Tribolium castaneum: one gene and its partner. The protein of the gene in region 1 interacts with the protein of each later gene in a pairwise test. Links are inferred from orthologs where the notes say so. Each region holds a gene or a part of one and is shown in the gene's direction. Other genes may lie near its edges. The genes, in order: Slu7 and peptidyl-prolyl cis-trans isomerase-like 3.

Region 1 (4,021 bases):
CTTGCATTTCTTCAAACAGAGACCACCGCTGTCAAACGTGATGCCCTTCCCGCAGAACAGGATCGGCTTCTGGTCGTTGGGACCGCCGCAGTACGAGATCTCCAACACGACCGGCGGCTCGCACGAGCCTCGTGCCACCGTCAGGAACGCGCTGAACTTCTTCTGCTCAATCCAGTCCTTGTCGTGGACTTGCACCTTGATGCCGCACGGGCACAGCTCGTTGACAGTTTCCTGGGCGAAATGCAGAGGGGTCATTTGGTTGGCGGGGGTGTCGGACAAGCGCCGGGCCAAGTTCTGCGACTCCGCCTTGAAGAGCCCGCGCTGGAAGCTCTCTCCGTCGGGATCGTCGAACAGCTCCAGCGTGGGGGTCTTCTTCTGGTTCTCGCGCATTTTGTTCTCCTGGTACCTAGAGAAAGAGGGCCATGGTTGCTAGGTCAGGAAATGTCAAAACAAAGCGCACCTCCAAAGGGCGAGGGCGCTCCCTTCGGCCGCTTGCTCCGGGAATCCCATGCCTTCGACCATGATCCGGTCCACGCCCTGCTTCCGGAGGACTTGCGCCCCAATTCCGGCGGCCACGCGGACGTTCTCCATACCCTCGTCGATAGCTTCCATCTCGTTGTAGCCCGCCTTCTCGGGGCCCAAGCCCACCACGGCCACGGCCCAGAATTCCCGGTCGACGTTGTTGAAGATCCTTGTACTACCCCGTTTTACAGTCTTTCCGGCTCTAAACATCGTTATTCAATCACTCGGTCCACATTCGTTTCATTCTACTCACTTTTTTACCAAATCCAGTAATTTTCCTCCTACATGGTCGTTGAATTTTTGTGCAGCCTTCGTCAATACCAATTCATTTTCAGACTCGTATACGCCTAAAATTATGCCTTTCTGCAAAGGTGGGGGGTTAAAGGGGGCCGAGTGACAGGGAAGGACCTACCTTTTCTTCGCCTGATGAAGACGCCGCTGGCTCACCGGAACAGAAATTCCGAGGTCTTAAAACGTTCAGTACTCGAGGCCTTACCCAATTTATTTGTCTTATAACTGTTGGAATCGACATTGTTCATTTAAAATATATACATTTTACAAGAATAATTTAGATCGGAAAGACAAATAATATTTTTCTTATTTATTGGTTACGGGCCTTCACTTGAATTTTTTTCACACAGTTCGCTTGATTTTAATCAAATTTAACGCCATAACAACCGCCGCCTTCTTCATAACACATTATTTTTATTCTCCCGCATTTATTAAATAGCAAATTTACGATGATGAACGGCAAAATGAGCAAACTACTGTTAATTATTAACTTTGGACGAATTTTCGTAATATTGAAAAAAATCAAAATTTGGAATTTTTTGGAATCCCTCTATATAACACGATCTGGCCTTGACAAGTGATAACTGTCAAGTATTTAACCTCACTCTTAGTTGTATGTGTAAATATTGCGTTTAATTATGGCCAGCAGTACGCAGGGCCTTTCGGTGTCGCAAATCTTAAAATCAAAAAGCGAGTTTGAGGATGAGCCTAAGAAAAAATCGCGTGAAGACTGGCGGAAAGCCAAGGAGCTCGAAGAGGCGCGTAAGGCGGGCACAGCCCCTGCGGCTGTGGACGAGGAGGGAAAAGACATAAACCCCCACATCCCGCAATACATTGCCACAGCCCCGTGGTACTATGGCACCTCGGGCCCCACCCTCAAGCACCAGAGGCCCCAAGACGACAAACAGGAGGATTTCTCCAAGTTGGACGAGTGGTACAAGCGAGGGGTCGACACGGTAAGTTAGCTGCACCTCTTATGCCATTATATTTATTTTTTATTTAGTCCAAAGTTGTGACGAAATTCCGCAAAGGCGCTTGCGAGAATTGCGGTGCCATGACCCACAAGCGCAAGGACTGCATGGAGCGGCCCCGCAAAGTGGGGGCCAAATTCTCGGGGGCGAAAATAGCCGCGGATGAGTTCATCCAGAAAAAATTAAATTTGAGTTACGACGGGAAACGGGACAGGTGGAGCGGTTACGACCCGTCCGAGCACAAGGCAGTGATAGAGGAGTTCCAAAAAGTTGAAGAAGCGAAGCGGCAGTTAAAAGCCGATAAACTCAACGCAAATAATGAAAGTGACGAGGAGTTGGATGAGGACAAATACGTGGACGAGGTGGACATGCCGGGGACCAAAGTCGACAGCAAGCAGCGGATCACAGTCAGGAATTTGCGAATTCGGGAAGATACGGCCAAGTATTTGCGAAATTTGGACCCGAATTCGGCGTATTACGACCCGAAAACGCGCTCAATGAGGGAAAATCCGAACCCGAATAAGGATGATAATTACGCGGGGGAGAATTTTGTGAAATTTACCGGCGATACGACTAAACATGCGTCCGCACAGTTGTTTGCGTGGGAGGCGTATGAGAGAGGAGTTGATGTTCACTTGTTGGCGGAACCCACCAAGTTGGAGTTGCTCCAAAAGGAGTATGAGAAGAAGAAGGAACAGTTCAAGTCAAAGGTTCAAGGGAGTATTTTGGAGAAGTACGGAGGGGAGGAGCATCTGGAGGCGCCCCCGAAGTCGCTACTTTTGGCACAGACTGAAGATTACGTGGAGTATTCACGCTCCGGTAAAATTATAAAAGGGCAGGAGAAGGAAGTCATCAAGTCAAAATATGAGGAGGATGTCTATATTAATAATCACACTTCGGTTTGGGGGTCGTTCTGGCGAGGGGGGCAATGGGGCTACAAGTGTTGCCACTCGTTTGTCAAGGTTTGTATTTTTATTTTGGATTAAATAGTGTTTAAACCATATTTTCGTTATTTTTTTTAACAGAATTCGTATTGTTTGGGAGAAGCTGGCCGTAACCAGGAGGCCAACAAACCACCAGAAGTTGTACCTGAACCAGAGGAAGAAAAAGAATCAAGTGAGAGTTCATCATCCGAGTCGAGTTCCGACACAGAAGCGAAACACAAGTCCGAGAAAAACAAGAAAAAGAAGAACAAGAGAAAGAAAAACAAAGAGAAGAAAAAACTGAAACAAAAAGAAGAGAAGGACAAGTTAAAAGAGGCCCTCAAAGCGGAAGAAGAGCACCAAAAGCGAGCCGAGAGTTTACTGTCAATAGACGAGAGGAAGCGTCCTTACAACAGCATGTACGAAGTGAAGAAGCCCTCAGAGGAGGAGATTGAAGCTTACTATTTGAAGAGGAGGCGAGAGGAAGACCCAATGAATCAATTTATGTAATAACAAGAATATATTTATTTGTAATAATACAATGAAAATAAAAAATTAGCGTCGTGTTAATTGGAGTACGACCCCCTTATCGACCATTTTCCCGACAAGTCTTGCCGTATTCCTGGCATCATGCAATCCGCAATGTTCAGTCCCTTCAAAAGTCAGTCCTAGTTCGGCCAAAGCGCCAGAAAGTCCAATAAACGGGCGTCTGATGTAGCGCTTGAACAGTGCTCTAATATCAATCCATTTGCGGTACATTTTCTCAATTCTAATATTCTTCCGGATGCACTCCTTTCGGAGACAGGTCCCCAAATCCCAGTCCGACCAAGTGGCAAAAGCGCACGTTTTTGCCGCCTGACTTTCGCCGTTTGGGAAATCCATGTCATATAATCTCATTTTTTCGGCAACCCAACGCGAAAACAGAAGCAAACAAGCTTGAAGGGGGACCCCGTTATCAACTTGGTGTTGCTGTATTCCTGTAAAAAATCATCAGTGGGGCTTGGGGCACAATGTTTTTTACCTGTGAGCTCGGTACAAAAGTCGCTCAATTTGGGATTCTCGACTGGCATTACGTATTGCTGGAACTCTGCGATTATTTTAGCGTTTTTTACGTCGTAAAGAACGACCGGAAATTCGATTATTTCGGCCGGATTTTTTCTCGGGTCGCCGTTACTCCAGCAAGTGGCTTCAAAGTCAAGGACGAGGAGGTAGTCAAAAGGCTGGGGAGTCGTGGCCTTAGCGGTTGAATAAATTACTTCTAAAGCACCCAGTTTTCTGAAATTGCAATAATAAGCTTATCTTTAATTTAATTAT
Region 2 (3,063 bases), about 1.5 Mb from region 1:
GCAAAATTTTTCTACAATTCTCATTGGGTAAAAGTTTGTTGGTCGATTTAAAAAAAAAATTGTTTTCTACATGCATGCCTTTTATCTTAAAAATTAAGGCAAAATCTTACAAAATGTTACAAAAATACTTAAATGGCGAAGTTAAAGGCGCTCAAAATAGCTTTCTCCCCAATACACCCCTGTTTCTCTGTCCGAGTTTATTGATTATGTAAAATGAAACTTCTAAAATAACGTGTCAGGCGGCAATTTTTGTTGTTACGTGCAGTTGAGTAATTTCGCCCCAAATTTGTCTAAATCGAGTGTTAATTTTAAAATTTCAAGGAGAACGCATAGTGAGTCCAAACGCAACAAAATAGCACCCAAAAAAAAATAAAAAAGACAGTTTGGGGCGCAAAAAGGGGCAAATGTTTTGGATGTATGTTAAAGGTACGTCGTTAGCACCAGCTAAACCCCTTTCTATTATTTTAGATTAATTAAATAAAGGGAGTGTTCATTATTGATCCCCGTCATGAATTTTAAATCTCTAAGCCCCCTGACGACCGAATTCGATAATGGTCGTACAAGTACCAGTCAGATTTCTCTATTACCGACCATGAGTTTACATTCCATTACAGGTTAACTCAACTTCCCTATAATTCGCCTTATCAGAGGGTAAATACACTAAAAATCAACACTCTTTCTTTGCAGAATATTTGGACGACCTTAAAATGTCCAGAAGGCGGGGTCGCGATTACGACCACGTTGATTACACAAAGCTAGCACCTGCTGATAAGGACAATGGCTTTATTGATGCACAGTTCATTACACCTGCCCAGAAAGTACCATGGAAGGCCATTTGCTTAGCCACTATGTTGCTAGTCGTGGGCACGTTTTTGCTCATTTTTGGGTCGCTGGTGGTCAGTGGGCACATTATCCTGAACTATTCAGACAGAATGTGGCCAATGATCATCCTGGGGCTGCTGATGTTCATCCCGGGGGCCTACCATGTACGCATCGCCTACTATGCCTACAAGCAAGTGCCTGGCTACTCTTTTGACGACATCCCCGAGTTTGATTAGGGGGGCTTTTCTAATTGTAGGGAGAACAGTATTGAGAGAATAGATTCGTGTACCTGAGTTAATTTTTAGATAAGGACTAAGCAATCAGCTTTGCGATTAATGTGCCTTCTCTTGTCGTTAATTAATTAATGTATGTGCCCTTGATCACTGTATACTTTGTGATTTTTTTTGTTAACGAATACATTACTTAAATATTTGGAATAAATGTTTATCTGTTTACCAACAGTGTCGTTATTTAACCCTTAGCTAATCCAATTACTCTTTTAAAACGTGTTTAAATCCTCAGAACCTGCCAAAATAATTATTTTTTGACCAACAACTAAGCTTTTTTTGGTTTTTATTAAATTTGAACAAAGAAAATCACCAAATTTGGTCAATAATGACCAAAAATTTAGATTTCCTAAGCGTTTACTTAGCAATAACTCAATTATTACGCAAAATTTAATAATTAAAAAAAAAATGCGGTGTTTTACTGGTTGCCTGCCCGCCCGCGTTTGCCACAAAAAATAAGGTTATGTGTTGTGTTTTTTTTGCAATTTATTTGAATTTTGGCAATGGTAAGTTAAATTTTCGCAAATTATCAGCCCGCAGTGGGTTTTTCCAGTCCGTTACGCTTCACACCGACTTGGGCAACATAAAAATGGAGCTATTTTGCGAATCTTGCCCAAAAACTTGTGAGAACTTTTTGGCCTTATGTGCGAGCGATTATTACACGGGGAATTTGTTCCATCGGAACATTAAGGGGTTTATTGTCCAAACCGGCGATCCCACGGGGACTGGGAAAGGGGGGACTTCGATTTGGGAGCGGAAGTTTGAGGATGAGTTTAAGGAACAGTTGAAGGTTTTTTTTTCAATTATTTGGGTTTGTTTTAACTGGATTTTGTAGCACACGGCTCGGGGGATAGTCTCAATGGCCAATAACGGCCCCAATACGAACGGTAGTCAGTTTTTTATCACGTATGGGGCCCACCCACACTTGGATTTAAAGTACACAATTTTCGGAAAGTGAGTAATTTTATTATCTCCATTTGTAAGTACAGGACACTTGTTTAGGGTTATAGACGGGTTTGAGACGCTCGATGAGTTGGAAAAAGTGCCAGTGAATCCAAAGAACTACAGACCGGTTAATGATATAAGGATAAACAGTATAACAATCCATGCAAATCCATTAGCCTCAGGATAATAAATAGGTATCAGTCACTATCAACTTCCTTATAGTCCAGCACTAGGGCAGTAAGATCCTCCCTAGCATCCTGAAATTCGCTTTCCTCCATCCCTTCACCGACATAATGGTGCACAAACGACCGTTTGGCATACATCAGGTTATATTTATGCAGAATTCTCTGCCAGGTCTCTTTTATGGCTGTGGTGTTGGACAGCATGGTGACCGCCCTTTGTACGCGGGCCAGGTCGCCTCCAGGGACCGTAGTCGGCGGTTGATAATTAATACCAACCTGAAAAATTATCTCAGACTCGATCACCCACCAGAAGAAATTACTTTGAATCCTGTGGGCGACCAATCCACAAACATGATACTCCGCTTTTGTTTGATATTCGTAATAGCGTTGTTCACATCAGTCGGTGTCACATCGCCACGGTATAAGAGACAACACGACATGTATTTGCCATTTCTGGGGTCGCATTTCACCATTTGATTGGCCGGCTCGAAGCAGGAGTTTGTTAATTGGGCAACTGATAATTGCTCGTGGTAGGCCTTCGTTGCTGGGACAAAGGGGGCGTAGGTGATTAAAGGGAAGTGAATTCGGGGGTAGGGCACTAGATTTGTTTGGAACTCGACCAAGTCGACGTTTACAGCGCCCTCGAAGCGGAGCGAGGCTGTGACTGCGGACACCACCTGTTGAATCATTTAAACGATTGTTTCTTTGGTTTGATCATTACTTGGCCCAAAAGCCGGTTTAAGTTTGTGTAAGTGGGTCTAGGGACGTCTAAATTGCGGGCTAAAATATCGTAAACCGCCTCGTTGTCCATAATGAAGCAGACGTCT

The links.
Region 2: the proteins of Slu7 (region 1) and peptidyl-prolyl cis-trans isomerase-like 3 interact in binary tests that used the Homo sapiens proteins (3 or more experiments, as listed by UniProt). The link is inferred for Tribolium castaneum from reciprocal best matches to the Homo sapiens genes SLU7 and PPIL3.

What each region holds. Positions count from the first base shown.
Region 1 is NC_087397.1:2,833,582-2,837,602, forward strand, and holds Slu7 (pre-mRNA-splicing factor Slu7), read left to right. Parts: upstream 1-1,372; 5' UTR 1,373-1,451; coding exon 1,452-1,769; intron 1,770-1,816; coding exon 1,817-2,746; intron 2,747-2,809; coding exon 2,810-3,217; 3' UTR 3,218-3,262; downstream 3,263-4,021. Other genes in the region: cytosol aminopeptidase, read right to left, coding at 1-406, 461-724, 776-885, 935-1,054. UniProt on the Homo sapiens protein: Required for pre-mRNA splicing as component of the spliceosome. Participates in the second catalytic step of pre-mRNA splicing, when the free hydroxyl group of exon I attacks the 3'-splice site to generate spliced mRNA and the excised lariat intron.
Region 2 is NC_087397.1:1,375,156-1,378,218, reverse strand, and holds peptidyl-prolyl cis-trans isomerase-like 3, read left to right. Parts: upstream 1-1,485; 5' UTR 1,486-1,612; coding exon 1,613-1,615; intron 1,616-1,662; coding exon 1,663-1,899; intron 1,900-1,944; coding exon 1,945-2,063; exon of another isoform or gene 2,064-2,111; coding exon 2,112-2,241; 3' UTR 2,242-2,251; downstream 2,252-3,063. Other genes in the region: transmembrane protein 230, read left to right, coding at 509-614, 688-1,058; tubulin alpha-1 chain, read right to left, coding at 2,252-2,512, 2,557-2,913, 2,958-3,063. UniProt on the Homo sapiens protein: PPIases accelerate the folding of proteins. It catalyzes the cis-trans isomerization of proline imidic peptide bonds in oligopeptides. May be involved in pre-mRNA splicing.